Drosophila melanogaster: one gene and its partners. The protein of the gene in region 3 interacts with the protein of the main gene of each other region in a pairwise test. Each region holds a gene or a part of one and is shown on either strand. Other genes may lie near its edges.

Evidence for each region.
Region 1: the proteins of Cp110 (region 3) and Nek2 interact in a two-hybrid assay, tested with the Drosophila melanogaster proteins (one study listed by BioGRID).
Region 2: the proteins of Cp110 (region 3) and Cep135 interact in a two-hybrid assay, tested with the Drosophila melanogaster proteins (one study listed by BioGRID).

What each region holds. Positions count from the first base shown.
Region 1 is NC_004354.4:7,886,312-7,896,463, reverse strand, and holds Nek2 (Nek2), read left to right. Parts: upstream 1-4,817; 5' UTR 4,818-4,964; coding exon 4,965-7,172; 3' UTR 7,173-7,398; downstream 7,399-10,152. Other genes in the region: p115, read right to left, coding at 1-2,337; CG45089 (uncharacterized protein), read left to right, coding at 2,978-3,142; ND-MNLL (NADH dehydrogenase (ubiquinone) MNLL subunit), read left to right, coding at 3,164-3,334; Acat1 (Acetyl-CoA acetyltransferase 1), read left to right, coding at 7,794-9,026.
Region 2 is NT_037436.4:15,111,704-15,121,643, reverse strand, and holds the start of Cep135 (centrosomal protein 135kDa), read right to left. Parts: upstream 4,908-9,940; 5' UTR 4,784-4,907; coding exon 4,685-4,783; intron 4,624-4,684; coding exon 4,549-4,623; intron 4,171-4,548; coding exon 4,044-4,170; intron 3,984-4,043; coding exon 3,831-3,983; intron 3,734-3,830; coding exon 2,338-3,733; intron 2,270-2,337; coding exon 2,059-2,269; intron 1,997-2,058; coding exon 1,881-1,996; intron 1,767-1,880; exon of another isoform or gene 1,639-1,766; coding exon of another isoform or gene 1,614-1,638; exon of another isoform or gene 1,432-1,613; coding exon of another isoform or gene 695-1,431; intron 581-694; coding exon of another isoform or gene 237-580; intron 73-236; exon of another isoform or gene 23-72; coding exon of another isoform or gene 1-22. Other genes in the region: CG32847 (uncharacterized protein), read right to left, coding at 1-22; CG16959 (uncharacterized protein), read left to right, coding at 237-580, 695-1,431; CG13458 (uncharacterized protein), read right to left, coding at 5,341-5,636, 5,694-5,800, 5,861-6,137, 6,198-6,605, 6,677-6,821, 7,143-7,300, 7,361-7,874; Ctps (CTP synthase), read right to left, coding at 8,947-9,940.
Region 3 is NC_004354.4:22,478,948-22,491,442, reverse strand, and holds Cp110 (centriolar coiled coil protein 110kDa), read right to left. Parts: upstream 9,049-12,495; 5' UTR 8,903-9,048; exon of another isoform or gene 8,779-8,902; 5' UTR 8,707-8,778; coding exon 8,693-8,706; intron 8,605-8,692; coding exon of another isoform or gene 8,602-8,604; coding exon 8,421-8,601; intron 8,357-8,420; coding exon 6,917-8,356; intron 6,207-6,916; coding exon of another isoform or gene 6,192-6,206; exon of another isoform or gene 6,042-6,191; coding exon 5,808-6,041; exon of another isoform or gene 5,697-5,807; intron 5,501-5,696; coding exon 5,369-5,500; 3' UTR 5,359-5,368; exon of another isoform or gene 5,323-5,358; intron 4,386-5,322; 3' UTR 3,985-4,385; downstream 1-3,984. Other genes in the region: l(1)G0196 (lethal (1) G0196), read right to left, coding at 3,654-3,776; CG12576 (uncharacterized protein), read left to right, coding at 10,849-10,931.

The DNA of each region.
Region 1 (10,152 bases), about 15 Mb from region 3:
CGCCAGGGAATCTTGCGCCGCATCTGCACTCTGTTTTTCGGCTGATAACTGCTGACGTAGTGTCTCCAGCTCCTTAGTTAGACGAATGTTTTCGGCAAAGTACATGTTGGCCTGGTAGCGAGCGGCATTTAGCTCCTCCTCGTTGGGCGGCGTGGCTTCCGCACCTTGGGCGGACTGCACCTGACCGGTCGAGGCTCCCAGCTGTGCCTTAAGCAGCGTGTTCTGGTCCAAGAGCTGCGCCTTGAGCGACTGCTCCTCACCAAGTTTCTCCTTCAGCTCGGCATTCTCCTGTTCCAGTTCTTTGGAGGATTGCTGCAGTGCTTGGATCTGGGCATCCATGCCGCGGATAATCCCCTTGTACTGGGAAACCAATGCAGAAGCTTCCGAGCTCAACGTGAGTTCGGTCAGTTCAATGCCATCTACATCAAATCCGCTAACCAGCTTGGCAATCAACGCCTCCAGTCCCTTGTACAGCTTGCAATACTCGAAGTCAAGCAGTAGTTCCCCAGCGGATTTGGCACGGATCTGGGCCTGCTTGCATGCCCGACTGTAGGCCTCATGTCGCGACACTTCTGCTAGTTTGCTACAGAAGCTCTCCTGGCCAATTCGCTTGATGATCAGCTGACTGATGTCCTCGCGCTTCTGCCCCGGCAGCGAGTTGTCATTGAACTGGATGCACAGGCCCATTAGGAATGCGCACATGCCCTGGACAAGGAACTCTCGTTCATCGTGCTCGTTGGAGCAAAGTTGAGCGGTCAGGTAGGCCATGGTGCCCTGCGTTTCCAGCAAAGCCTTCACCGCACCTGGACAATGCGCCAGCCACAGGCTGAGTAGCATTAGCAGACCCACCTTGCTTTGCAAACGGTAGCGTTCCTGCTGCATGAGATTAGTGCACTGCTCGAGTAGCGTGATAGGCTTTTGGCCACCAGGAGTGGCCAGCAGTACGCGCAGTAGTTCCTCCTTTAGGGCGACATTCTCTACGAGTGAGTGCATTAGGGCCACAGCGGAGAACCAGTTGGCAAGCGCATCTGTGGAGAAGAGTCCGGTGCAAAGGAGTTGTCCCGTCGAAAGGGCACTCACATCGGACGCACTGGAGGGCAGCAGGGTCTGTACAACCGCCCGCTGGCCATCGGCATTGCGATAAAGAAAGCACTCGAAACAGTAGAGTACGGCGCAACGCAGTGCCAGCAGTTGTTTCTCATTGATCATGGACATAAGAAGGACCACGATGGCAGGTCTGGGTGGACTGCTCGGAGCCATAACTCTTCCCAATTCATCCTGGTTGTCCCGATCGCCGCGCACCACTTCGGCCACTGCATTGATGGTTTCCGTGAGTATATCCGCAGGGACACCACTGCTCATCAGAATCTCGCAAAGAGCATGGAGCAGTCGAGACTTTTGCATGACCCGCTGGCAGGCGGCCACCACCTGCTGTTGATTACTGGGCGTGACCAGTGCCCGCACCACCTGCAGCAGACAATGGAAGTTTGAGACCTTCTGTGGCGACCAGCCAACCTCTTCCGCATCCTGTGAGAGCTCAAACATTGGCGACAATCGCTGGATATAGCTGCCCTCCTTAAAGAACTGCTGATTACTGGAGTTGTTCTTGAGAAGATTCAATAGCAGAATTAGGCAATCCTCCACAACAATTCCGCCATCCGAACAGCCCTCCTCACGGACAATTTCAAAAAGGCGGTCAAAGGCATTCTCAAAGGCCACAATCTTTTGGATGTTTGAGTTGCCCTTGGTCAGTTCGATAAGCAGCAGAAGGACATCGTTGCGAATCACTTCGCGGCTGTCCGTCAGCAGATCCATCAGCTTGGAAACGCCCATCGGACTGACCAGAATCAAATCCTGCAGCTCCCGCGTCTTGTTCGAAATGAGGGACGTAATCAGTTGGATGGCAGCGCGACGCACTCGAAAATCGTATTCGTCCAGATAGCCCATTACCAGGGTTACATGCTCCGGTGTCTTGATGAACATCTCCGTGAACTGCTCGCCCACATTCACCGAAACGGTGGGATTATCAGCCTCCTCGTCGAACTCCTCGCTAGTAACCACGTTGCACAGTGTGTCCAGCGCATAGCTGATGATCTCTGCATCCTGTCCGTCGTTCTGGAGCACCTGGACCAGCGGAGGCATGCCCTGTGCGCCCACCTCGATGCGGTACTTGCGGGACAGGGCTTTTAGCGCTCGGCAGGCATCCCGTCGATCCTCCAGGAGCGTTGAGGAGTAGACACGGTCCACCAGCTTCTCCACCGTCTCGGCGGCACTCGGCTGCTGACCCGGCTCCGTGCTGCCCAGCACCGTTTTGATGCCACTCTTCAGGAACTCCATGCGAGTGTGTGTTTACGGTCTATTCTGGGTTTTTTCGCATTCAACAAGACACGTCAATTCATGAAAACAATTGACGGGCGGCTTAGCGATGGCTAAAGTCCGATAGACGCCCACTTATCGATAAGCGGCTTGTCTTTAAATATATTAAATATATTTTTAGAATTACAATTTACCATATTTGACCATGTTTGTGTAATTACCTATATTTACACTTTTTTGATAATCTAAAACTTTTTTTTGAATTACATAAAATATTGCTACTTTCTAGCTGACGTCGGGACTTAAGCTGAGTGGCATCCCTGTCGGCGATAGTCTTACTGCCAAAATTTTATTAAACTAAAAACGACTCGACAGCCCTGGTGCTATCGATGCTATAAGTAAGTTGAAAACAAAACTAATTTAGCAAATTTGTGTTTAAAACTAAACGAGAGAATCCCAAAAAATACAATATAAAGCGTTCCACACACGCGGCGTAAGAAGTTCTCAAAAATATCAACACAGTTATCACGACGCTGGGAGAAATCACTCGTTTTTATTACGTAATGCGGCAAAATGTCAACCCATAACATAACAATCCCCACATCAATTTGTGTAAATCATATGTAAATCTCGCCATCTCCTGTGCTTGTCTTGCAGACCTATGGGCAGTGGGATTGTGGTTCAATTGGCTCGAAAGTACGGCGCAGTGATATTCTTTCCCACTGTTGCAGTCGGATCGATTTACGCAGATTGGTCGCACACCCGCCAGTGGAAACGCCAGCAGCTCCAGTTGGCACACCGAGCCCAGCTGAAGGATCAGCGCTAAGAGGATACACAAATATACACCATGGTCTTGGGACTGGATAAGCGAGCACTGTGGGGCGCGTTGCCCCTGCTGGGATTTGCCATTGGCCACTTCCTGGACAAGAAGGAAACGGAACGTATGACCATGTTCCGGGACAAGAGTGCCCTATACGGCCGTCCCGCCGGCAGCGAGGGTAAGGCGCCATCCTGGTAGGCCTGCCCAACATCGCCATCCCAAAATATTATTTTTTTTCCCCCAATTCACTGTTATTCAATAAACCGGAGAAATGTGAAATACGCCTGTCGTCTAGTTTACCTGCATGGCCAGCGGACGAGATTTGCGGTCGGGAACGTGATTTATTTGTGAAGGATTGCGTACCATTGTTTGTTTTACTCAGGAAAAACATAAAAACCTCAACACACGTCTAACGATAAGCCGAAAACCAATGAAAAATCCAAGGAGATAACTCGTTTTTCGAAGGATTTTACCTGGGCATCGCTGCACGATATGCGAGTTCTGCTTAGTTCGGATCAGGGGCGTAGGCTGGATATTTTAGAAGAGCATTGGTGTATTCTACCAAAACTCTTATTATTTATTGTAGAACTTCTTGAGCATGTCACATAAATCACTTGAAATGTGGTAACCGAGAGTAGTCTTTTTAAATGAGTTTCGTTAAATGGCATTGAATTATCTAATACATGTGAATCGAGATTTTTAAGAATTAATAGAAAAAAAAAACTTTTATAAGCATGAGCCCCCTAAAAACTTTCATTTGCACGACCATGCCTATATGTACTATGTAACTGCTTCCAGTAAAAACCGTTAGACAGAATGGATAATCGCTCACTTCAAATATGAAATATGAAATCCGATAAGGACATTTCCACTTTAACAAACAAGGCAGCAAATTGAAATGCCAATGGAACAAAACTAATTTATTTTTATGGCTCAGGGCTAGGGGTTTGTACTCGGTTTTGGATTCCGGTTTAAGATCGGTTTTGGGCTCGAGTTCCAAAATTGAGCGTGATGAATCGCTGGAATTGTGTTCTTGGGCGTGCTGCCCCTCTCTAGACCATTGTTTCCAATGGTCAGTAGTTTGTACACAGGCGCAGTGGGATCAAATGGAACGGATTTTCCAGATTTTCGCCTTTCAAGGGCTTTCTCTCTCTCACAGCGGGGGAGAGCGTGAGCGAGAGGGTGAGATGCCAGAGATTTGCAAGTGGATACCGTTGAACTGTGGTTGGGAGCGAGAGGGTAATAGCACGATCTTTGTTCCTGGAAGGAAACGAGAGATCCAGACGTGCAACAATAACATAACAGTGCTGGTGTCTCTCGGCGGGAAAATAGCCAAATTGGGCATTAGCATGCAGGTGCGAAAGGGTTTTATGGAGAGGTTATTTATATGAAGGTCAGGTTGAAATGACTGCTATCAATTTTAATCGGTAGTTGTCTTGTATATTGGTTTTTAAATAGTTTTGTATTTTAATCCATATTACAATTTCTTAATTTAATGATGAAATAGCTATTTGTTTATGTATGTAATTATATCATTAGATTGCATATTTGCAAAATGTATTTTGTAAAAATTACAAATCTAGCTTGTTTTTAGAATATTCATTCTTCCGCCCTATTTAGCGGGGTAGCGGCACTACTTAAACCTCTCTCTCGCGCACTTGTTGTTGCTCTCTCTCCCGTTCTTGCAGGTAGCAATGAGAATTCCAGAAATCCTGCATCCCAAAAACCAGTCTCAAATCGTGTTTGGGTTTTGTAGCAAGCGGATCATTTGTAATCGGCGGCGGAATACCCAAAATACCCAAAGAGTAAAAAAAAGACTTAAGGCAAAATGAGCGGAGAGGAATCTGCCGGCATGGACTTTTCGCAAAAGACCCTGCAGGATTACGAGGTTTTGGCCGTGATGGGGAATGGATCCTTCGGCACCTGCTACAAGGTGCGCGACAAAAGCACCGGTGAATTGTTCGCCTGGAAGGGAATGAACTACGATGAACTGGACGAGGCCAAGTGCGACGCTTTGGTTTCGGAAATCAGTGTTCTGCGGCAGCTCCAGCATCCTAACATTGTGCAATACTACCATCATCTGGTGAACCGAGAGGCCAAGTCGGTGTACATTGTTATGGAGTGCTGTGCCGGCGGCGATCTCGCCCAGATTGTCCAGCGAGCGAGATCCCAGAGGCAGCGGTTTGAGGAGCCCTACATCTGGCGGGTGCTCTTCCAACTTTGCCGGGCGCTTCAGGTGTGCCACAACAAAATCCCCAACGGAACCATCTTGCATCGCGATATCAAGCCAGCAAATATTTTCCTGGATGCGGCCGGGAATGCCAAACTGGGAGATTTCGGTCTGGCCAGAATGCTGCGACGAGATCAGAGCTTTGCCGCCTCCTTTGTGGGCACTCCGCACTACATGAGTCCGGAGTTGGTGAAGGGCAGGAAATACGATCGGAAGAGCGATGTCTGGGCCGTTGGTTGTTTGGTATACGAGATGTGTGCCCTAAGACCGCCGTTTCGCGGCAGAGCCTTTGACCAGTTGTCCGAGAAGATCGCCCAGGGTGAGTTCAGTCGGATTCCGGCAATCTATAGTACTGATCTGCAGGAGATCATCGCCTTCATGCTGGCAGTGGATCATGAACAGCGTCCTGGCATCGAGGTTATCATTCGGCATCCTCTGGTGGTGCGTAATATTAGCGAGTTGGATGGCAAGTTCCCAATTCTAGTTGATTCTGGAGAGGATTTCTACACACTGCCTTCGGGTGCCAGGCTTTTCGAGGACGAAGAGGAAGATGGAGTTCATCCAGAGCTATCGAGCACCATGTTTACGGAACAGTACAGCTTCAATGAAGGCTATGGGCAAAGGAGACTCAGCGTTACTGGTGTGTTTACTCCAGATTTGCGAAGTGAACTCTTCTACTCCGCCAAGCGCAAAATCTTTCCTGCCAAGAAACTACAGCTGTCGGATCCCTCTCTTTATGAAAGTATAAGGAGAGAGGAGCGAGCGGAGGAGAGGCAGGTGGAACTGGCGGAAGAGCGGCGCCGTAAAAAGGATCAGGAGCAGCAGAAAAGGGATCAGGAGCTTCTAAAGGAGGCCCCTAGCAGTCCTCGTGCTCTTACCCAAAACATATTCGATGAAGTACTAAAGACCCGTCTCCACGCCATTCGTGCCCAAGAATCCCTGTTGCAGCAGAAGCTCGAAGAGCTGCAGACCCGGGAGCAGGAGTTACAGCTGGCCGAACAGCGCGTGCAAACGCTGGAGCGGCAGATGCAGGAAAAACTTCTTCAGCAGGAGAAACACACTTGTAGTTGCAGACAGCCGATAGCTCCGCCCATTCCTCCTAGGAAGCCAGCGAAATCGCACCATGATGACACCTACTGCACTATCGAACTCAACGAGACGTCGCCCACGGTGGCTAAACTCAATTTAGCCACACTTCCGGCACCAAAATCGCTAAATACTCTGCGTAAGGTTACCTTCAAGTCGCCCCAAAAGTTTGTTACCTATGGTATCGAGAATATGCCCCCACCGGCGGTTAAACCGGCAGTGAATCCTCCGCCCACTGGCGTTCCCATGCAAATGAGCGTATCCAGCAATGATTCCGGTGACAGCCAGGCCTCCTCCACCCGCAGGAAATCTATACTCTCGCTTTTCGGGTTGAGTCGCGGATCCAAGGCGACATCCAAATCCTTGCCATCGGTCAACCAGGTAGCCCAAGCAGCTGCAACTCGCGTGCAGCGACCTCCTTTGGCCGTCAAGCCACCGATCACGCAGGAACAGCCGGCAGAAGTTCCACCAGTGGCCAATCTCTGGACAAAGGAGCAGAAGAAACAAGCCTTCGAGCTGCTGGCGGCCATGAATGCAGCCGAGAGGGAGGCAAGCGGAGGTGGAGTCGTTGGTTCTGGACCCGGAGGAGCACGTCGCCAGCATCTGCGGCAATCGGTGAGGGAACGGAATTCCACGCTGCAGCGGAACCGCATGCGGAGGTCTTTGGTGGTGGCCACTGGCCATCAGAAGCTAACAACGCGCGACCAGATGGTGATCTGATCAAATTGATCAGGAAAGATGTGCAGTCCAGGAGCCATGGCAACCATGGAGACTATGAGCGTTGTGATGTGGAATAAGTTCCGAAATATTTACATTTTTTTTATGCAAAAATTTTTTTGAATGCCATATTTTAAACACGTATTATTAGCATTAAGATTCCAGTTTTTTCAGCTGCCATTCATTGTGCAATTTGCATTAGTCTTAAAATAAATATTGATGAAATGAGATACATTTGTGTTTAAAATTTCAATTTTCGTGTTTTTATTTATTGTTGTTCGCTTGTAACCGTTAAGTTCAATTTACGCATTTTCAGTGCTGGGTATTGTAAAAAGAATATATAAACTTAGCATTGCATCTTTACAGCGTAGTTTTCAAGCAATATACTTAAAACAGCAAAAATTAAAAATTACATTTAAAGAATGCTAACTAATAGAAAATTACCAGTCGCTTTAATCTTATTTAACAGTTGCCAACACTTTTACCGCGCCAGCTGTTGCCTATCGATAGACCGATTACCGGTTTGTTACGCAAGCAACAGGTCTGGCGTGATTTCTGATTGGATTCTTGCCATTTACCTGTGTGATTGCTGTGCTAGTTAATACAAATTAATTAAATTCCAAGATGTCCGCCCGACTGCTGCAGGCCACGCGTCGCTGGAGCGCCCATCGCAACTACAGCTCCAAAATCGCCGAAGTTGTGGTGGTTTCGGCAGCCCGCACACCAATTGGCAGCTTCCAAAGTCAATTGGCCCCACTGACGGCTACCCAATTGGGAGCCCGTGCCATCGAGGCGGCCATCGAAAAGGCCGGAATTGCGAAGACCGATGTCCAGGAGGTGATTATGGGCAATGTGGTATCTGCTGGTCTGGGACAGGCCCCCGCCCGTCAGGCTGCCATCTTCGCCGGACTGCCCACCAATGTATGCTGCACCACGGTGAACAAGGTGTGCTCGTCGGGCATGAAGGCCGTTATGCTGGGCGCCCAATCCCTGATGCTCGGCTATGCTGATGTGGTCGTTGCCGGCGGTATGGAGTCCATGTCGAATGTTCCCTACTATCTGAAGAGGGGAGCCACGCCCTATGGCGGCGTCAATCTCACCGACGGCATTGTTTTCGATGGCCTCTGGGATGTGTACAACAAGTTCCACATGGGCAACTGTGCCGAAAATACGGCCAAAAAACTGGAGATCACACGTCAGCAGCAGGATGACTTTGCCATTGAATCATACAAGAGATCGGCTGCCGCGTGGGCCAACAAGGTGTTCCAGGACGAGATTGCCCCGGTGAAGATTCAGCAGAAGAGGAAGCCGGAGATCGTCATCTCAGAGGATGAGGAGTACAAGCGGGTGAATTTTGACAAGTTTGGACAGTTGGCCACCGTTTTCCAAAGGGAAAATGGCACTGTGACAGCCGGAAATGCATCCACCTTGAATGATGGCGGTGCCGCCGTGGTTTTGATGAGTGCCGAGGCAGCCCAGAAGGCGGGCATTAAGCCGCTGGCCAGGATTGTGGCCTTCCAGGATGCGGAGACCGATCCCATTGACTTCCCCATTGCCCCAGCTCTGGCCATTCCCAAATTACTGAAGCGTGCCGGCGTTCGCAAGGAAGACGTGGCCATGTGGGAGGTCAATGAGGCCTTCTCCCTGGTCGTTTTGGCCAATATCAAGAAACTGGATGTGGATCCAGCCAAGGTTAATGTTCATGGAGGTGCCGTGTCAATTGGCCATCCAATCGGCATGTCCGGAGCCCGTCTGGTGGCCCATCTTTCGCACAGCCTGAAGAAGGGCGAGCTGGGATGCGCCTCCATTTGCAATGGCGGCGGTGGAGCCTCCTCCATTCTCATCGAGAAGCTGTAAAGGTCACCTGGCGGACCTGCTCTCAACCAGAAATGCATTTACTACTGATCCATCGAGATTATTGTGGAAAGCTCTATGTTTTTTTTTAAATTGTTAAGTGTCTTGATTGCGCGTGGCCGCATTTAACGAACTATTGTGATTTGCATAATAAAATTATGAAACAGTCAATAATTATTATATGTATATCAAATCAGTGTTCTTCCATGACGGTAATAGGGTTCAAAGTCTAAACATCTTATATTTGTTCTGTGAAAAAAATGAATTAAGTGCTGAAAATGTTCTTTATTGTTGAATTTATATATATATATATATATGCCTATAAATTCACCATTTAATATATACCTAAAAAAATGATAATTTCGGCATTTAAGGATATTATACCCGTTACTCGTAAAGTAAAAGCATTAGCATTCTCTCTTGTTTTCATAATTTATTTAGTAATAATAAGTAAAATATTTTGTTCAGAGCCCTGCTCGTCTGGAGGCCAGAAGTTCGCATATGAAGACGACCAGCGACAGGAGATATAGTCCTGCGGTCAGGATGTAGACCGCCCACAGATCCGGCTGTCGGATGCGCTTCTCCCGGTACAGGAACCGACTGCGGAAGTACCGCTCGCTAGCCATTTGGCCCGCCCAGTGGTGCACCAGGCCAACGGATCGAATGGACATGACGAGGTGGTCCAAGTGGCTGGCCAGATGCGAGTGCTTCTGCAGATAAATGGCCAGCTGCTGCTCCAGAACGTCTTGCGGTATGATGTGATACGCTCCAGCCCGATGGCCCCGTTGGGTGAGATGGAGAAGTGCATCCTGGGAAATCAGGCCAAAGAAAAGTGGATGTGAGCCGGCTCCTTCTCGCAGCGTACACCGATCTAACGTGCGAAGCACCTCCTCCTCCCGTTCAGAGGTCACTATCACGGATTTGAGACCCAGCAGATCCTGCAGACTGGGCACCTCCCTCAGATCTTGCAACGTGGTCCGACCCATTACGGCCGCATAGTCGCCATGGGTTAGATCCTGCAGATTTCCTGGCAATCGCTGGTGCAGATGGTATCGCAGGATGAAGAACAACAGCGCCGAGTACATGGATCTAACGATCAGGCCAAAAATCAGCCAACTGGCGAAGAGCA
Region 2 (9,940 bases), on a different chromosome or scaffold from region 3:
TTACGAAAGTATCAGCCGACATTGTTTCCGATGTGTGTGTTTCTAGCGCAGGTAATTTTGTTTAAGTCTAATGTCTTCTCAAAATAAAATGAAGTAATCTTAACAGTTCATGTGATATCAACAATTATCTATCAGACTTTCTCACTTCAAGGCGATCATTGATATAGGATGATGTGTGCCGTATATATCAATTAAATGTTTAAAAGTTAACTAAACTATAGGCAAATCCTTTCCAGAACCGCAACCGGCAACCGTTGGGGTACGTGCAAGCGACCGCTGCATTGCCCGGAGGACATGCTCTTCTGGCCGAGGGACAACAAGTGCTATGCGAGGCATGCAAAGGGTCCATGCAGCCGGGGTAAACTCCTCGTTCGCAACGAGGAGGGACTGGCCGAGTGCCGTTGCGAGGATGTGGGCGACTTGGCCTCGTTCTACTATCCGGCAGAGGAGTCTTGCTATGAGCACTACACCAAAGGACCCTGCTCGACGCCGGGTCACATCTTCTTGCCCGGCGGTCGATGCGACTGCCAGCGGCACTTGCCGCACTATCATGCTCCGCATCAAATGTGCTATGAGCTGGGTAGGATTGGGATTACATAGCCCGTTAATTTGCAATTACCGCCTTGGAAATGTTGAAATTCTATCTCAACATAATTTTCTCCTATATCGTATTTAATGTTCTCCTATTTTTCAGACACTCCTGGCCCCTGTCCACCTGGTCACATCTTTCGCATACCCGACGAGGTCCAGGAGACAACGGGCAGCACCCTGCAGCTTTTGCCTCGTGCCCAGTGCCAGTGCAAGGAGGGCTATGTGCCCTGGAGCGATGGCATCTGCTATCGCCTGTACACAAGGGGTCCCTGTGGACCCAATGAGTTCCTGGTCAACGGAACCAGCTGTGTGCGCAACTTCTGTGGCAAGAATCGCCTGTACTTCCCAGCGGAAGATTCTTGCTACAGGATTGGATCTCAAGGCCCGTGTGCCCTACATCAGGTGGTGATCTTCGACTTCACCGCCAGGCCATCCATCGATGGCATCTCCTACAATGGAATGTGCGGTTGTTCCGGTGTCCTCACCAATCTGGATCAGCAGTGCACGGGAGATGGAGCGGATAAGGAACAGAATATATGCGAGTCCACGCCCGGAATGGTGGAGATCAATGGGCAGTGCCACAAGCTGTATAGCCGAGGACCCTGCGGCGCGGGTCAGTGGCTAGAGCCACTGAAATCGCAAACCACGAATGGCACCTCAATTTTGGTCCACGCCAGTCGGGCCAAGTGCGTCTGCCGACCGGGTTATACGCCCTCGGAGTCGGATCAACGCGGCATGAGCAACTGCAGCGCTCCAAGTGTCAGCCTGGCGAGGTATTTAACCAACGAGCGACTCAACTCGAAGTTTCTCAATGATCTGCACCTTGGTGGGACCACCTAAAATCCCCAATCTTCAAGCTATTTTCTGTCCGGTTGTGATGACTTTTATTCTTCTTTCACCGCATGCCCACCTAATTTACCCTATATTACCTCCATTACCCTTTGTTTTTGTGTTTGCATGCTCAGTGTTTATTGATCGATGCGATCATTTGTTATTCAATTAACCATTTTGTTCTCTTTTAGGTGGTTTTTAGAAATATTCGGTTAACGTGTTCGATAGGATGAGACAGTGCCATTAATGTATTACATCGACTAATGTACGAGTTGTATTTAAGGAAAATCACGATAAGGGAAATAAAAGAATTTGAAAGACTAACAATATAGAGTCTAGAAATGAAATATAACATATTTTTCATTTTAGCAGAAAAATTGAGTTGTAAATAGGTCAATTATTCTGAAACTCTTTGGTATCGGGTTCTGAAGCACAAACTAAACAATTCTCACACTTACCGCAATTGATCCTCCAGGTCCTTCACATTCTGCTCTAGGGCATTCCGTTTTTCTTTGCAATCCTTTAGCTCATACTCCAGTTTGTATACCCGCTCAGTTTTGGTATCCAATTGATGCTAGTGAAGCAAATAACAATATTGTTAATATCTCTAGAAAATATATTATTAAATGAAGTTACCAGAAGCGTATCCTTCTCGTGTTCTAACGATATATAGGTCTGCCGCAGAGCTCCTAAGTCCATGCGGAGTTGGGTAACCTCGCTGCGATTGGATTCCCGACTGGAGTCCAAGGTGCTGGCCCGAACATCCGCCGACTGTCGTTGACGCTCGGCCACCAAAAGTTTACTCTGATAATCCGCTATGATGCGCTCGTTTTGATCGTTGAGCATGCTGCCAATAAATAAATAACAAATTTATAAACGATATGAAAGCTTAGCAGCAATTCCATTGTTACTAACGTTATTTGATCATTTTCGGTCTTTAGTTGGTCAATTTCGGTTTGCATAGATGCCACACGCTGCCTCATTTGCAACAAGTCCTCCTTAAGCAGCACCAGATTCGTTTCAGTTGGCAGACGAGCCGAGTTAAGTTCCCGATTATCGCGTTCCATTTGCCGCAGGCGATCGTTAAGCTCTTCGTTTCGCAGGCGCAGAGCCTGTAGCTCATCGGCATGAAGTTGAACAGTGCTCAGTTGCTTCTCCCTCAGCGTATCCCGCTCGCAACGAACCCTTTCTAGCTCGGTCCTGGCGCAATCCCGTTCCCGCTCCACCCTTGCAATGGCCGCCTGGACGCAGTCACTCGTATTGCTAGTAACGGTGGAGGTAATGGATGAAGCTGTGGGGGGCGGCAGTGTCTCATACTGCACACTTTTTTGTGGGGAAAATTGCTGCTTTCCTCCATGAAACAGTTCAGATCGCAGGGCCTTTAACTCCTCGTCCTTAGATTTAATTTGGGCATGCAAGAAGGCGATCTCCGACTCGGATCCGGTCTTGCTCATCAGACGCAGATACTCCTTCTGGAAGAAGTCCCGCTCTGATGACAGGCGTATTTTCTCTTCATCCAGGGTGACGTTGGAATGTTTATTCTGATCTTTGAGCTCCTTCTGCAGTTCTAATATCTTTGCTTGCATTTTCTGAATTTTCTTCTTATGCTTTTCATTTGTGGCCTGTAGTTCCTCTTCACGACGAGTCAAAAGATTTAAGCGTTCATTAAGATTATGCTTGTCACTTTGATTGGAAGCAAAGCCACCGGTCAGTCGGTGATCCTTTCCCTTCTTCTTAAGCTCCAACTGCAGTTGCCTAAGTTCCGATTCCTTGGCATCGATTTCCGCATTGGCCTGCTGTTCCACTTGCAACGCAGCTTCCTTGAGCTCCTCCAGCTGCGTTTGGAGCTTTATTTTATCCTCTTCGGAGCTTAGAGCCCGCTGCATAGCATCGTGCATCTTGTCCTGGAATTCTCGAACTTGCATCATTAAATCGCTCTTCTCGCGTTGCAACAGATCGATGTCCTGGGAGAGGGCGCCCACGTCCTTGTAACAGCAATCCTTGGCCAAAGCCGCTAAAGGACGCCCTCCTGCTAGCATGTCGTTTAAGCGGCGAATCTCCCGATTTCTGGCCTCCACTTTGCGCTTGAAGAACTCCAGTTGTTCTCCGGCTGCCGTAAGATCATTCTGCATCTTGTCTAACTCCTCCTGTCCACTGGTTTGCGTCACTGTCACACCGTCTTTGGTCGTTGTGGTGGTCTTCTGGAATACCCCAGCATTGCATTTTGTGCATTTAAGAGCACTGCTGCTAGTGCCCAGTGTAGTTGGCATCGCAATGCCCGAACGCACTGTGGTTATAAAGGGTTTTTTGGCTGGAAAGCAGAACATTTTAATAAAACCAACGTGAATCAGATAGAGATAGTATCTCAGGGAGATCCAATTCTAGTTAAATATCTTTCTTAGACCTACTCTGACGTCCAATGCCAGCTGTCGCCTTTTTGTTCGTGACTGATGAAACCATTTGCTTGGTAAGCAAAGCGTCCAGTTGCCTTTGAAGTCCATCGTTGTGACTCTGCAAATGCTGCTTGTCCAACTCCAGATTTCGGATCTTTCGCTCGGACTCTGAAAAAGTTTAAGGCAGCAATAGAGTTAAAAATCAAATTAAAATCGATTACAACATACCACACAGGCGCAGCTCGTAGTCCTCCCTGTCCCTCAAAAACTGGAGATGCAGTTCATTGCACTCGGCCAGCAGGCGAGAGTTGTCACACTTGTAGGGTTCGACGCCCAGCTCCCAACAGGTCTTTTCCTGCCGAAAGGAAAGCCACAACAGAAGGATTGCTTAGCAACCAATTGAAAAACCACAACATATAAGAAAGAACGTGGGCTTAAAAAGCTAACGTGTAAATATCCTTGCAAGTATTTCACGCTTAATTTTAGGGATTCAATTGAATTGTATAGTCTGCCCTTAAAAATGAAGCATATTTGGCGTATATAGAATAAGAATACTGAAAAGAAGTTTCTCATGGGATCCTCACAATTATAATCATATTTAGATTGACAAATTCTTTTTTATCTTAACAGCACCAACCTGAATCTCTTCAGTAAGAAATTGTGATAATATTATAGTTACACATATATAATCGAGAAAACCCAAAGGTCTTGTACTCTCTACTGGTATACCCACCTCCAGCAGCTCGGCCACCTTTTTCTTGGTATCCCTCAAACATTCTGTGGTCTTGATTAGGTCCCCGAAAACAGCCTGCAATGTAAAAGGTACAGGATTATGCCAAAAAATTAATATTACAGGGTATGAATATTACCTGAACCAGTGGAATGGCCAAAACGGGCAGCGTCTGTGTGAAACCCATGATGTCCAGTTTGCAGCGGAGGTCTTTAAAGTCACCATCGTTGATATTCATGGGAAAACACTAATAACAGCAAAAAAATCACAAGTTTTCTCCTAAATGCCCTAAATTTCAGAAAATGCGCAATGAAAACAATGCTATTCAATCAAATCAAAACAAAACCGGACTTCAACCGATATTTCCTTAAATATATCGGTTATCGAAAGTGACCATCACACCTCAGCAAGGAAATCAATCGAAAATTTGTTTTAGTATTTTATTATCGAACGCAAATGTATCGAAATCAGTATGAAAAATAACATCGATTGCCCAGAAAAAACGTTACATTCAAAATAAAATATAAAAGCTGAACAAAATTTTATATTTTTTATGAAAATTCATAGATTTTACCAGGTATGTACTGCAACCGAAAAGAAGTTACCGAATATTTCAATATAATAATTTTATTATTGTTCATGTGTCTATGGCTATGTCTAAAAAACCAAATTATAATACAAATTTTTTAAACTTTTAGAATTGTACCAGGCTTTACTAAATAATTGACCTTGTCCAAATCAGAATTGTTCGATATTTGTCTTTTTATTAAAAAAAAACTAAGGTGTGGACTGCGATTAATCAACAACAAAACAGTAAAAGTTCTTAAACATAAAAGACGCTTCATTATCTGATATAAAATTACGTTCTGGCTTTTCCGAGGAAAACGGATTTACAGTTGGCGGCATTACGACATTTAAGTGTCGATTCGATTGGTTAATAAATTGAATCATATCCAAAGGGGCCTCGTATTTTGTATAGGAAGTAACTACGATGGGGCAGTTGAGATTGAGTGCAGCTTGAATGGTATCTGGCCAAGTATCCTCCAGAGCGAAACCAGTTGATCGGTACAGACCGCAGTTAAAGAAGCAAACTATGAATTTATGTATAATAATTATTATTAGTTTCGCTTAAATGAGTGTTAACTTACTCAAATTCGGCTGAAGAAAGTGCGATTCTCTGCAGTAATCGTGATATAAACTATTCTCAAAATGATAGTTAACCGTTCTCTGGGCTTTTCTGCAGAAACGGCAGCATCTAAATAGATTGATAATCTTTAGACTAATGTTTAAACTACTAACTAAAAGTGTAACTCACTTGATTTTCTTTAGCTGTTCAAAGGATATATTATTAGGATTAAGTTCAGGTCCAACAAAGACCACATTCAGAGTTTTCACCGCTGGCGTTATGTGGAGCAGGAAGAGTTCCCATTTCTGCAGCATATCCGCCTCAAATTCGATCTCGGCTCCAATTAAGTGAAGAGTCATCTCCTCGCAGTTTCTGAGGCGCTCGCAAAGTTTCAAGGCAAACCAGGCAGTTAATGGGCCAGTGGACACCTGGGTAAGTGCTGCGTACTCACACTCATTGGTAACATCTTTAAATCAGTATAATAATACATTATAATAAAATCCTTGAATACTTCGTGTTTACTTACTAAAGCTTAGCTTCTTCATCATCTGCTTGGTGTTGGAGCAAGCCATGGGCAGCTCTCTAAGAATCTTACTGGGCAGTGATGGCTCCATGCGGCCGAACTGTTCCTGAAACATGATGAAGGCCTTGAAAATCTGATAGGCTCCACACCACTTGGCGTGCTCCTTGCCTCGGTGCTCCGGCTTATCCTTGCAGAAAGCCACCTCGCCACATCCACCGCACATGGATAGACGTTTAAAGCGATGCTCCCGGCACTTTGAGTCGGCGCAGATCAGTGGAAATAGGAGCAACTCTCTCTCCGTTGCGCTGAGCTGACGATTCATCTCCTTCTCCACCTGGCGAATGCACACGATCCGGAAGGAACGGAACTGTTCGTCACTGAAGTCGCCGCACTTGTAGAACATCTCGTGACCTGCATCCGCCCCATCCAAAATTGGCAATTAGTGTGATTTATGAATTTGTGAATCGCCGAAAGACACTCACCATTGCGGTCCACCGTCTGGCGCAGGGCGTAGCACAGCTGGCGGTGCTCCTGGTCGTCTTTCATGTGCCCACTGCTGCAGTAGTAGCTCAGTCCACAGCGGGAGCAGGGTATCCGATTCTGGCCGCACAGATCCGACTTGCAGAACTGCAAGTATTATAAAAGGCTTAGTAAAATAAAATTGTAAAAAAATCTTATTAATGCGCCCTTTACATTTGTATATAGAAATAGGAGAGTACGCTATAGCCAACTTCCTCGACTATCAGATACCCATTACTCATCTAGCGGGAATGCCACCATTAATGAGCATATCGATAGAAACTGGCAAGAAACCATTTTACCTGTTACATACTTTTCAACGAATCTATTATGCCCTTTTCCTTTAGGAGTGTAGGGTATACAAATGTAGAAGTTTTAAACTATAGTCCCTTCAGCAATTAAGCACAGTTTGTAATGAATACTACCTACATTGCACAGTGAGGCCATAAAATATTGCCTTGGCTTATAGATGTACTCCACATACTCCTCCACTTCCTCATCGGATGACTCGACATCGCTGGGCGGCGCTTGGCTGAAAAGCTTTCCAAGATTGCTGAATAACGCGGCTGCTGGGGATTCACCAGATCCTATCAAGCATATTTTAGTTATGTTGAATTGTATATACTTCCTAATGATTATCTAATTACCCTTTGGCAGTTTGCTGCCCAAGCATTTGAGTAGATCATTTATTTCCTCTTCTTTTGAAATTCCAGATGCCTTGGCTTCTGTTTTGAGTTTTGGAGTAACCGAGGTACTCGAAATCTTTGGTTTCTTTTCTTCACTTTTGATTTCCTTTGGTTGGGTAACTATTTTGACCGGATCAGTTGATGGCTTATTTTCGCTGGATGGCACAGCACTATTTTTGGCCAATAATTTCCTACGTAACAGTTGCTGTATCAGCCGGATTGTATCGTTCTCTTGCGGATTTTCCACTTGACCAATTTTTGATAATGATTCAAGCAGAGAATTTCCACTTGTAAGTAAGGGCTTTTCCACCGGAGGTTTACTTTCTACACCATTTGCCGCTTTTGAGCCATTACTTTTGAGTGAAGACGCAATTGCGTCTGGAGATTCCCCTTGATCCTGTGGCACCTGGTTGATCTTGTTGCGCTGGCGATTCCGAATCCTTGGCTTCTTTTTGTGGACCCCCGACTGAATCATGTTAGCTGCGTTTCTCTTATTTCGAGTGCAAAATTAGCCAGAGCACGTTGCTCAATTGAACGAACAATGAAGAATGCGCATTGTTCTTGGTTGGGAGTCTTGCGGTCCGCCTCGATTCAATTGGCCGCTAGCCATCGCTTCTCATCGCGGCCGCAAGCCCAAATGTATGCCCTGGCTATTTTTGTTGGGCACGGGCCTGACGATGTCTGACAACGCCAGCCGGTATCTGAATCCGCATCCCGCATACGAATCTCAATTCGCATGGGCTAGCGTCCATTATTATTCTCGAGTACCAGCGTTTGATTAATTCTCTGCCTATCTCAACTAATTGCGTCAACAAGCAGAAAATTACACTGAAGTCCACTCTGTGGTGCTCTTTAAAAATATAGTTCTTGGCAGAAAAGGGATTATACATAATCCCTTAATATATTTGTAAGAATTTAGAAAAAACAGTCAGTTTTTTAATAAGGTATCAGTTGCCAAAAAGTATTGATGGAACTGTCGTTAAAAATAGAAGCAACAATTGTTTTCAAAGTATTCCAATAGTTTATGTGTGAACAAAATCATAACAATTGGTATGGATATCTTGAAAAGCGATTTTTCCATAAATTCGGAAACAAATAAGCTTATTTAGCATGTTTCAATTCCAATTTCGAAATTTCGCGCCCAATTTGAAAAGAGAGAAATAGCACACATTTACTTTCCACGCACTATTTCCAATACCGTTCTTGCTGCCCGCTAAGTTCAAAATAAAACACAAACATTTGAAATTGTTCCATTAGTTATTTTTTTTTTCGCATCCAAAAAATATATATGAATTAAGATTTTCATATAAATTAAAAATGTACGGAAAGTAACATCGTAGTTTACTTAAGCTTAGGAGAAATTATAAAGGGTTTCTTATTATTAATGCCTCTTTCATAAAAGGTCAAAATTTTCAATTCGCAAATACCGTATTATACCCACCCAGTAATACTTAAGTTATCCCAAACTTTTGGGGTTTTGCGATAACAAAAGTACGTCTGATAATCGGATGTTAAACACTTTAGGATATAAGATACCGTTCACTAGTTTACTTATGGCCATTGGTAGGATCAACGCCTCCGCAGGCACCTTCGCTGTCGGAAGTGCTTATGCTACCATTGCAACTTTTTGATATTCCATTTGTGGGTGTAATGGGAATTTTCAAGGAGCTCAGCGATTTTGTTGCTCCGGCCAAGCCCACAACACTGTCCTCCTCATCCGAGGATGCGTCGGATAGCTGGCGGGGCGACAGGCGGCAACCGCGCTGAATATATTGGTTCAATCGATCCACTGAGGCCAGGATCAGGCCGAGGAAAGGAGGCGACGGCTTCAGAGGCCGCGACAAGTACTCTGGATGATATTGGGTGGCAACAAAGTAGGGATGACCGCTGAGCTCAATGATTTCCATCCTAGTTTTGTCGACGTCGGTGCCCACAAATCGCATGCCTTGCTCTTCCAGCAGATGCACGTATTTGGGATTAACCTCGTAACGATGCCGATGACGCTCCTGCACGCTTTTCGGATTGCCATACAACTGGCGAATGACACTAGGACCATCAGAGAAAACAGTTATTCGCTTGCCCAAGCGCATAGTGCCGCCCAATTGACCCGTGTGATGCTCTGGCATATCGATGACCAAGGCATTAGCTGTGTTCGGATCGATTTCTGTGGTGTTTGCATCCTTGAGACCAAGTTTATTTCGTGCGAATTCAATGACCGCCGCTTGCAGACCCAAGCAGATGCCAAGCAATGGCTTTTGATTCTCTCGCGCCCATTGGCATGCACGAATCTTGCCCTCCATTCCACGGGAACCGAATCCACCGGGGACTAGGATGCCATGGCTATCGCATAGCTTCTGCCACTCCTTGTGGTACTTGCTCGGCTCAGAATGCAAAGTTTCCTCCTCCAGCAGGCACGACTCGATAAAGACCAGTTCCAGTTTGCGATTCACTGCCAGGGCGGCATGTTGCAGGGCTTTAACTACGGAGGCGTACGAATCCGTGAACTTGGTGTACTTTCCCACGACGGCGATGCAAACTTCA
Region 3 (12,495 bases):
TGATCGCACAAAGAGCCAGATGGATAATACACTGTGAAGAAATGCTTTCGTTTTGGATCTGGATTTGATTGCGATTTTCAGCACGATTTCGAACATAAATACGAACTGTAAATATATCGACCTGTCTTTATAAAAAAACATTCTTTCCTAGAAAGGTTTTGTACGAATAAATTTGGATATTTTTCTTAAAGCTTTTGAGTTTTTCTTACTCTTTTATATACTATATTGTATATATATTGTATATACAATAAAAAACATATTAGGCTATTATGTTAAATACAGTCACACAGTTAAATTGCAGTCACACATATTACAAATGTGAATTATACATGCTAAAGTTCGCATTGCAACAGATGCAGTTATTTAATTAGAAGTTTTACAAAGCCCCAAAGGTAATTATTAATTTAAAATTTTCAGTGCATGAAGATACCTAGAGCGGGAGAACGACGAAAAGGCGTTCTCTGTGTATAATTGCTTCGACATGTTATCATCGTCGCTCTCATTTGTTAAACTTAACTTCAACTTATATAGCGTATACGTCCGGCCGATCGGCCAGTGTTAATGAAAGCGACAACAAAGACAACGAGAGCTACACAAAGAGCAGCGACGAAAATCGGTAATCGGTAACCGGTAACTGCGGTCGGTGGAGCAGATAAGACTTCCAGTGATAAGGGCGCTACGGCTCGTAAAACACACATCTGCCTTAGAAATCCAAGCTCCAAAGTAAATATTTTCTCTATGTATAGAACCCGTCGCTGGCGACCACTAGCAGGCGCCATTCAAGCGATGTTCCCCATCAATTATGACCTTCACGTATCTTTCCTCTGAGATCTCTGTTTCCCCGAACTTAAAGATGAAAATTAGATGATATACATACAAAGATATAAAGATCAGACAAAAAAAGAAAGGGAGGTCTATAAGACGGGTTCACTATTAAGCCCTCAATTAATAAAATTGGTATATCTTTTACGATTTTATTCGGTTTTACCTACACTTGTAGACTAGCAAGCCCCGAACACTTTATATTGTTTGTAATGAAACTCTAAAACTCGTTTTTATTATTTAAAAAAGTCTATATTAGTAGCTTAAAAAAGAAATGAGTTTGGGGAAAAAAAAATTTGAAATTTGAAAGCTGGAATCGTTTGCCCATGTTTGCCCACCGATAAGTTTTTTTTTGCCTTCGTTTAGTTTTCGAGATCTGAAATTTCGAAAAAGTTCGAAAAATTTCGAAAATCAAAAAGTGTCTTTTTTCAAAAATTTTTTTTAAATTGTAATAACATCCTTTGCTTACGTTTGCCCATCCCTTTGAATTAAAAAAAAGTTATTATTTAGAAAATATAAGACATTAAAGGCAATATCGAGCAATATTTCTTCCTAATAAATAAATAACATTCAATTAAATACAAAATTTTAGTGTTTTCAAACACCCGATATAAGACAGCTACTATTTACATATCGGTTTTTCTGATTAATTGAACTTTCAGCGTTTCCCCGATTGCCAGACGTACTGAGCATCGATTTAAACATTGACGAACATCCAATTTTAAGAGTTCTAGGGCATAATTCTTAACTCTTAAAATTGGATGTACAATTCACTTTTTGATATATCACTATTCCAGTACTATTTCACTACGTTTTTATATTTCTCATATAGCCACCCAAAAATATGAAATGGATAAATTAAGTTTCGCCCAAGAACAGTCCCAAAGATTCTCTTTAAATCTCCAACTTTGACGAAAACTTTACTTTATACAAGCAAACGAGCACTTACATATACATATGTATGTATAATACATACAGTTTATCTAAACAAAATGGTTCGATACCATCGAAACCATCGAAAACTAACCGTTCTAAAACCACTCCGCTTGAAAGTCGAACCTGGTCTACGAATCTGAGAATGCAAGTGGTCCCTCGTCGGAGCTACTCGAGATTCCAGACGTAGTCGGAAGCCAAAAGCAAACAAATTAAGCAAACAAATGGCATAACCGGGTAATTAATTAATGCAGCCAAGAAACCGAAAACGTAATTAGAACACAGCGCGCCCACCAATTGCTTAAACAATCAAAGCGTAACGGTAACCAAAAAATGTAGATTGTTTAAAACCAGTTACCTAGCGAGCAAAATAGCGCAACATTAAAGAAATGAAAACAAGTGCAAAACCGACGAATCACCGGATGGGAAAACGATGAGGAGCGCGGCTCCAACTCGCTGACGTCTGTCTCTGGATTTTCGCGGGCGGTAAGAAGAGCAGCGGATGGGCGGGAGAAAAGGGATAACAGATAGTAAATGTGGGATCTACGCACAAAAATAAACAGTGCACTGAGAGAAAATTACACTACATTCCGATTTATGTTTGTAAATCTAATTCTGCTCTTTAGGATTTGAGCTCAAAGAAGCTGGCGTCGAAAAAATCGAATTTTTGAAACTTGAAAGCTGGAATCGTTTGTCCATGTTTGCCCAGTCCAGTTTTCGACATCTGAATTTGTAGTAAAAGTTCGACAATTTTCGAAAATCAAAAAGTTTACTTTTTTCATAATTTTTTTTAATTGCAATAACCCGTTTGCCCATCCTTTAGAATTTTGAAAAATGTATACGTTAGAAAATATAAGACATTCAGGTTAATCTCGGTCTACTCAGAAAATAAAGCGTTTGCCCATCTCTTATAACTAAATATTATAAAAAAAAATGTTTACTTTTTTCATCGTTGTGGTGGCTATTCACAACGCCAACTATCTAATTGCGACTTAAAAAAATTTTCATTTTCAATTTTCGAACTTTTTGAAAATTCAGATCTCGAAAACTGGACGTGGGCAAAAAAAACTTTATCGGTGGGCAGACCAACTCTCCAGCTTTCAAATTTCAAAAATTCGATTTTTATTATTATTATTCATTATTTTATCAAATTCATAATATTCTAAGACATTTGTTATTTTATTTCCCAGTTGCTTGTTTTTAAATTTCCTCTCTCAAAGATTTTGTAATATTCCTAGTTATTTTTAAACAGTTTGGGGGCAGTTTTGTTTATATTATTTTTTCGAGTGTAGACCGCAACGCACCGCCCACATTTGGAGTGAAGCTTACGTGCGTCAGCCAGCGACGTCCGCCAAAACGCCACTCTCCCTGCCACGAATTTATCGATGCTGTTGCTCATTACTCTTTGGACTGTTGTTTGGTTATCTCTTCGCTGGAAGGGTGCTCAAGGGATGTAAATTATGTTTATTCCAAAACCACACACACAAACACACATTAGAAAACGAGTAAAAGAGCCGAGAGCAAAAGCTTTTGGCATTGACATTGAACAGTCAGCTGTTGGGAAGAAGCAAAGGAATGAGAAGAATTTAGTAGGAGGCGGAGGAAGAGAAAAAGCTCCACTGCAAAAAGCCGCAAAAAGTCAGGGTCAGCTCTCCGCATGTAAAAATCTACAGTCGAAGTCAGCTAGATTATAACACCAGGTTTAAATACTTTTTCAATGCTCATAATTTTATATTTCACATTCTTATAAAACACTATTTAAAATTAAATAAAAATCGATTTGACTTGTTTTAAAAATAAATACGTGCATGTATAGCACATATAGTATGCAAATAAAAAAAATTATGTGTTTTAGTGGGTTACGCTAGATTTTAGTGGTAAAACGGTGGAGCGCATACGTTGCCATCCTGTAATCCCAAGTAGAAACCGACCCGCTGCTGCGGCTGACTTTGATGCGGATTTTGCTGCTGATGCTGCTGGGATATATCCTGGTACCCTGATTCCAACTCGGTGTAGGACATGGTAATCCTTTGTGTTGGTGTTAGTGCGAGTTATCCAAACAAAACAAGGAGCAAACAACAACACTGGGAAACGTTTTTCGTATTCTGTTTTTACATTTTTCACTCTCACCCCCACGCACGCAACTTTGCCGCGTGTTAAAAATATAAGTGTGCGCTTATATTTTTGTTAACGATTTTTTCTCTCACTGTCCTTCGATTTACGAGTTACGAAATCTGTTATTGGTGTGGTTTTATTATTTGTATTATTATTTTTTCAATTTGGTGTGTCGTTCTAAATTCGCCGCCGGCGGAATTATGGAATTGGGTGGGCAAGGCACGCGGGCAGCTGGGTGAATAACAGGATGAGCGGGAGGTCGGCCAATTGCTGTGGGTTACGTGCTCACTAATAATTAATTGTTATTAAACTAGTTTTCTCTCGCTTTTGATTATTTGTCTGCCTTTGCTGTTTTCTTTTAAGGCCATCACACGCACACACGACTACTCGCTTTAAAAGTTCCGTTTGTTTTGGCAATCCGCCGCAGCTTTCAGGGCGAATTTGTCTAGAAAGCTCCGCAATGTCTTGAAAGCTTGGCTGCAAAAAATCACGCGGGCTTTTGCCAAACAGCTGTTCTGTAAATCAAGAAAGAAAAGGTATTAAAAGGTATTAAAAAGATAATAGAGAGATATAACCAAAAATAAGTATATAAATGTATTTCAGTTCAATATTGCGACTAGTATGTATATTTGTTTGTTAGAATTGCTTATTAATCGTAAGAATTAATTTGTGTATGTAGTTAAGGATACTACCGAATCTACCCATTAAATTTTATATTATTTTAATATTTTTTTAATATTTAATATTTAAAAATATACTTAATATTTAAGTATTAACATATACATATTTTCTTCCATTTCAGCTCAAATATATATATTCCATAATACAAATTAAATAATAACAAGAGAGATTGCTATAGTCGGCTATCAGATACCCGTTACTCAGCTAATGAATATGCCAACGCAAAGTTGGGAAATAAAATGAGAAAAAATATATATGTAAATGGTTCGAGTTGTGGGCGCTGTGGGCCAAACGCCGTTTTGGGAGTTTTTTTTTATTATATATCGATAGAAATGGGCAAAACAAGCAAAAAAACGTAGAAAAAACAAAACATTTTTCAAAAGTGTGGGCTTGACAGCTTTTGGCTGTTTTTAGGCGTTAGAGTGGGCGTGGCAGAGTTTTTTGGCAAATCGCGTCTATGTCTCTGGAAGCTGCATGATAAATCTGAACATTCTAGCCTGTATAGTTTCTGAGATCCTGACGTTCATACGGACGTAATGACAGACGGACGTGGCCAGATCGACTCGTCTAGCGATCCTGATCAAGAATATATATACTTTTTATAATGGGAAACGCTTTCTTCTATCTGTTACATACTTTTCAACGAATATAGTATACCCATTTACTCGTAGAGTACAAAAAGGGTACAAAAATGTAAAAATGTATAGAGAGAAAGTGGAACCAGAAAACTTAAACTTAATAAAAATGTGTTTAGTTAAAACAAGAATGCTTCGTTTATCGTTTCCTCCTTTATTCGAGCAATCTAACCTATGAAATCCTAATCCAATCGGCGATGTTTGAGGAGTAGTTTGGTCTTGATCCTCTGGCGATCCCGAGCGATGATCTCCATGCGGTCCTTTATGTTGGTCTGGAAGAAGATCAGGTGCAGGGTACGACTGGCGGAGCAGAGCTATGAGTTAATTCAATGAATATAAAGGAAAAAGTAGTCAGCTTGTATTAAGTTTGCAAACAAGGCAATTTCAAATCAAATATTTATATAAAATCGCATTAATTATTCTAAAATACCAGTAGTTTTGGTTTTGCTTACTCAAAGTTAAACCAAAGTCAATGTAAGCACAGTAGGTAACACTGCAGTCGAGTTTTTTGACTATCGCATACCCTTCACTCAGATAATAATTAATTTCTAGTTTTATCATCCAAGCCTAATGTACACATTTGGCACCTTTTACACCTAGACAAGTAACCAAGTAACCCACCTGTTGAAGCAATCGCGCCTTGAGGCGCAAGTTTGCAGGCTCCTCTGCATCCAGGCCATGTCCACAAGTTTCCAGGTGCAGGTTCAACACGAAGATCAGGGTGTCTCTGATGGTTTGGACAATGCGCTGCACTTGCTCGGTTGCAAAAAGCCGGCGGACCAAAAATCCTCGCACACCGGCATTAATACGTGTGGCCGCCCACTGGCGCTCTTCCTGTTTCAGCTCGACATATTTCTGGCAGGGATTAGAGGCGAAATTAAACAGGGAACGAAGGCACTTGCTAGTTGGGTTAGTAATTAGGTTAGCTACTGGTGCTAGAGGCTTGGTCCCTCGATTTCCTCGCAGTCTTTGTTAAGGCACTTGCATAACTGACTACCCGAATTGCTAGGGCTTCTTGCGCTGTTTGTGTTGGGGAAGAGGAAATAATAGAATGGGAGTACAGGAAATAGATATTACAGATTATATCGCCAAGGTTTTCACTTTTTTAGGGATAAAATACCTAATTATTATATTAAGTGATTATGCTAAGAATATCAATATCAATATCAATATAAAGCAAAAAAGAATGCTATCAGATACCCGTTACTCAGCTAGTGGATATGCAAACTAGAAATTTCATCATAATTTTTCTGGGATATCGATACAAAATTGGGAATAAAATGAGAAAAAATTTAAAAATTAATTAAAAATGTCAATAGAAATGTACATGTCTAATAAAATTGTGAAAAATATCCAACATATATTCAAGCTTTTATAGTTCCTGAGATTTTGACGTTCATACGAACAGACGGATATGGCCGGACCGACTCGGCTATAGATCCTGATCAAGAATATATATACTTTATATGGTCGGAAACGATTCATTCTGCCTGTAGCATACTATTCAACGAATCTAGTATACCCTTTTACTCTAAGAGTAACGGGTATAAAAATAGAGGACCATAAATAAAAAATCGTTAATGCTTTAGTTAAATAAAAGGAAAGGTCAAATAGCAGAGATTTAAAGTAAGAGTCCAACCAAATTAGCTGCTAACTTAGGTTGGCACAAATGAAAACCTTTGTGACTTAAAGCAAATAAAATATCGCTCAGATTCGCTTGAAAAACTTACATTGCCCAGCCGCTTGGTCGGTGAGGCGCTTTTTGGTGGGGCGCTTCCCCTTTTCGCTATAATGGAGCTATTTTTTCCCGGGGAACTTTTCGGTCGTCCTGCTCCACCTCCAGGCTTCGCTGGCGATTTCTTCACCTCGCGGTCTGCTGCGGTGATTGTTTTTACTAGACTACCGCCCACAGATTGCGATCGGCGCCGGACAACTTGGACACTTCGTCTGCTATTGGTTAAGCTGCTGTTCCGGAGGGGCAACGATCGCGGTGTGCTGGGGGCACTGAGCAGCTGCGGTTCCGAGTCCTTTGATGGTTTTGGACTAAACAGCCTCTTGCGAGCGGAAGAAGGCCCCGCAATTTGGCACTTGTCTTCCATCGTCGGAAAGTCTTCTATGTCCTCTGAAAAGGAGGGTAACGTAGGCGAGGGGGAAAAACGCTGCAGGTCTCCCGTACTGGTGCTTTGCGATATCAGACTGTCAGGATTTTCGGTGGCCGAGGAAACATCAATTTCGGCACACAGTTCCTCTATGAGCTGACGCTGCTGATGATCAAACTCGGCCTGCATGCGACGACGTTCCTTCTCCTGGTGAATGACCAATTGATTCATTCGCTCCCGATGGCCACGCAGATAGTTGCGCACTCCTGCCTTGCGGCTGGCTTCCAAAGCGCCATGCTCGTCCAGCGCCCGTTCTATTATACGCTCCACCTCGCGATCCCGCCTAGAACAGCTGCTGCCGGCGGTTGTGGTTTTAGTGGCGATGGTGCTCTTGGTTGCGGCGCTACTGTTGCTATTGTAGCTGTTGTGGCTAATTTTGCTGCTAATACTCCTTGCACTACGGTTCACCCGCTTGGCCTGAGACTCGATGGTCTGCTTCTCGAAGTTGGCCAAACTCTGGCTGGGTTTCACAGCCAGGGCCTCCCTCTCCATGTGCTCCACGAGAACCTGGGAGGGCTCCTCTAGTGTGAAACTTCTCGAACGCTGAAAATTAGCTGGTTCTGCCAGTGGACTGCCGAGCTCCCTTGCCGTTGTGTCCTTTGTATCCTGATCCTGCTGGTCTTCGGCTACCGCAGGACTTGTGCGCAGGATACACTTATCTGGAACTTTGGGCAGCAGCTTACCCAGTCCCGACTGCTCGAACTGCAGGATACGATCGGTAATGCGATTATGCCGCCTTGGGGAAGTGTTTTCTATTGATTTCACAAATGGTTGAGGCGTGGGAGGATCCACCTGTATGGTGGGCAACTGTTTGCCAAAGACCAGAGTCTGAGGACGAGCCTGGCCCCGTGTGCTGTCATAGATTAACGTTTCTGTCTGCTGCAGCTGTGACACACTTCTCCTACTGGCCATGTCGGATCCCGCCGAGTGTCTGGCCAGGCGGTACCGCTTCTCCAGCGCTTCTGCCATCTGGCGGGCCAGCTGCACCTCGCGCTTCTTGGCGCTCGTCATCTGGAACAAAGTAAAATGGTTACGCCTCAGTAAATGCCACTCCCTGACCAAGAATTTAAATCACCAGCGGTGGCAGTATAGGCTGCCCGTCCAAGTGGAACCGAAAGGAGACAGGGTCCATGGAACTAGAGCCACTGCCCTCGGAGGGGGCGCTCCAGATCGATATGGTGGTCGTGGCCGTTGGTGTGGTGGCCTCGCTGTGGCTACCTCCCATCTCAACTGCAGACAGCAGCTGCTCCATTGCCCTGCTTAATTGGAGAAGCATTAGATTGAGCAAAATCAGTAATTAGAAGCCCGTAAGCAACCGGGATTCATAAAATCCCAAGACCCACTCACCACGTCGCATCCATTGGTGTTTTGCTACTGGGAATTTTTGTTGGGACGTCGAAATGTCAGGAAGCCTTCTCAGAGGTCAGCTGAATCTAGGTGTTTTGTGAAAGTTCATTAAATGTCTGCTATGTTTTAGTTGCCATTAGAGATGACGATGGCACTAGGGAGCCCTCGACTTCCCGCCAAAAATTAGGAAACCTCTGAAGAGTTCATTACATCAATCAAATGATATCCCGAATCGTTGAGAGTTTTGTATTCAATGTTTCTACCGTGGATCGCAGCTACCATCAAGAGCCAATGAGAAATGCTGCTTTAATGCTGGGGAAAACATTTATTTTCAAACGGCAATTCAAAACTCACACGAAGTCCATGCAGCCCTGACGTCAGATATCGATAACCGGACTTTTGGAAGTAGCGTTTTTAGAGAAAATTTGAGGACTCCACAGATTAGCAGAGGAACAAGTTTTCAGTCCTTCCAGAATTATAGTAAAGAAAACGGTGGATTAAATTAGTGTTCAGGAACTTATATTGTATATTTCGTATGCTTCAAAATCTTGTCAAAATTAAAGAAACATTGTCTGCGAAAACTTAACTTTTATTGGTTCTTAACAAACTAATTTGAAACAGCTGGCCGAATTCAACAGTTTACTAGGTGGTTATCGAAACTGGTGTGGTACATTTTGGTATTTGATTTGCGCCGGATGGTATTTTCCTTCGCCGTGCGCGCGGTCACATTCACTGGATGTGTTTTTTTGCGCTGATTGTTGCTCTGGCGCGATCGAATTTGCCTGGAATTCGGGAGTCAACATAATATTTTCGAAAGTCACCAGCTATAGCGAAAAGTATGCGAGTTCTATTACAGCTTGTCGATATGTTGTGTTCGTAACTTCTGTTTGCATATGTTATGTGTGTGTGTTATCTAGTTACAAAACGATCTAAAACCGTTTTTGCAAAGAACGTCCGCAAAACTGAGTTTGTACTTCAAATATGAACTATTTGCGGTTTATATTGCTCCAGATTTCTCTCTTTAAAGTTGCATTGTAGATGCAGTCGTGTGTGTGTGCGTGAGATGGGAGTGCAATTTTTTTTCAACAGTATCAGCTTTGTTTTTTAAGTAGAATACAAGTAATTTTTACCCCTAACTTTATTCCTAGCCCCTTTCCTTTATAAAAATACGGTAAAAGTGTAAGGAAAACAAAAACAAAAAGCGCAAAGTTTCGCACATATATGTGTACATATGCATACACACGCTGAGTGTGGTGTTTCTGTATTGTTTTTTTTTTTGTGTTTCATTCTGCGACGCAATTGAAAAAGACATCGAAGGCCAAACAACTTGGTGTTTTTTACGTTTTGTATGGCTGTAGTTGCTGTTGTTGCTGCTCAGTTGGGCGTTAGTGTTTGGCTCCGTTCTTATTATTATTATTACAACTTTTCCACGCGCTTCGCTCTCTGTTTCTCTTCCACATGCTTGCTTTCGTCCTCTCCCACGCTGCATTGCTGTCTCACTCGCACACAGCCGGTAAGCCAAGCAGCAAACAGCAACAACAACAGCAACGGCGGCGACAATAAATTATGAAAAACAAGGGAATAAGTTGATGAAATAAGTATTTCGAATTAAATGGTTAATCACTGGTGGAAAAGTCGCAGTTCCAATGACACCTTTTCCATGCTGAACTACGGAGTTTTTTTTTGTTCTTAATCGGTATACGTTTGTGAAAACAAGTGCGCTTGTGTGAGTGAGACAGGGCCTCAAAAGCCAGAAAAACATGACAAAAACATTTTGGTAAATTGCCATGTATCCGAAATAATGCTCATGCAACAGTTACATATAAATATTGTTATTTTATTTTCTACGCAGTAGTCGCGGATTTTCAACAAAGAGCAATCATAGTGATGGTATAAAAGAGGGGAAGGACGAAAGCAAAGAGAGCAAACCGAAAACAGTTACTCTGCCCATGCGCACAGCTGACCCAGAACCTGGCATAACGGTAAAGTAATTGTGTCGTACAACAAGCGAAACTTGACAGCGAAAGGGAACCGGAAGTCGCCTAAAATCGCGGAGCGGAAAGGAAATCAGTCCGCCAACCGCGGGAGCTGAAAATCGAAATCACAACCCACAAAAGCGATTCCAAAGTGCTATCTTGGTGCTACTCCCATACAAAATGTTCCAAGTCCTGCCCCGTCCGTCAAGATCCACGTTCCACTGCATAGCGGCAGCCGTTGTCACAGTCGTCCTAATGTCATGGTAAGTCGAAGTAACAATCCATCCAGAATTTTGCCATTAATTGATCCAGCTTTCCTAGAAAACTGACCTCGTATCAAAAAAAAAAGGGGAATCTTAAGACCCTTCTAAGCCCATATTTAAAACTATAGTTTTCAATTCAGTAGATAGGCACAATCAGAGTTTATTGGCAAGATAGTTCTTAGTACTTAATTACTGGTAAAAGTGGCAATTTTCGTTGATCGATAAGTTTGAAACGTGCGGCGTTTAAATTTGAGGAATAAGACAACAAATAAAAAACAATAAAATTTGTAGGCATTACGGGGAGTCCGTCCGTTTTTGGAAAATGTGAAACAGGTACATTGGATGAATGTCCATAGTTGTAATCTGATTTCTGTTAAAAGTTAACAATTGTCGGCGGGTTTTAATTAGGGCAGTAATCTCAATAAATAGCGACACGTAGTGCGTATATTTACGCACTAAATGATGTACATTTTAATTGGGTCGAGCGGGTCCGAATTTCTTCCCAGCCAATTCAGTCTCGTTCCCATTGAAAGAAAGCTGCGCAGCAAAGTGAATATGTAAAATATACTGTGTAAAATCGTATGGTCGGTCACACAAGACAAATTGTGGAGCTGTAGGTAGGAAAGAAAGAAAGAACCTCTTTGCGTGGCCAATTTCGAACTGAAAGTTGCAATGTTTTATTTTCGGAATATATGTGTGTGCACACAAAGATTGTTCCACATATGTATGTATGTAAAAGCGCACCGAAATGAAGCTCATGTGCATGCACATGGCCATCCAAATACAGCTATGGCCAAGACCGTGAAGCACACATTTAAAAAGCGCCCGAAATTAGCATTTTGTGGTTTGTGGTCCTTTCTTTAGTTCCTATTTATTTATTCTTTTATTAAAACTACAAAAATGCATTTTTTTTTTTTGTAATATCCACAACTTGTGAAACTAAACGTGATTACTGTTTATTTATCAGACTGGGCAATTTTTAAAAGTAGTATTATAACTTGTTTGCGCACTTGTTAAACTGATAAAAAGTGTATCAATTTCCGTTCAATTCCGCTGATTATAAATCAGTTCTATTGACTTAGGCTCCGCTGTTGGTTGCTGTGTGTATGCCGGCGATCTTTTGTACGTGCTTGCACCTTCGTTTTAGCTGACTGAAAGGCCCCACCCTTCGCCCCGTTGCGCCGTCCTTGCTTTATATAAATACTCACTTGTACATAAAAATGTCACTCCATGCCCATGCACACCGACCACTCCTCCGCCCATTTAAAGCGTTCTGTGTGGCGCAATTAACCAAAACAGAATAAAATTAAATACACATCATGAATGCACGCAGCCGTTTCGCAGATACAACTCTATACGGCGAATAATTTCGGCTAACGTATTTGCAGGATGGATTTGTCCTTGTGAAATTCAGTCCAATCGATTCACACTGTGATTCGAAAGGATAGAGCACTCCGAATGAAATGATACTTGTCTGTGCAAATAATGTTATTATCTTGAGCTGCTATTGAGCTGAGTTCTTTGCAACCATTTGTTACTATTTCCGGTCACTGTTTAGGAAACG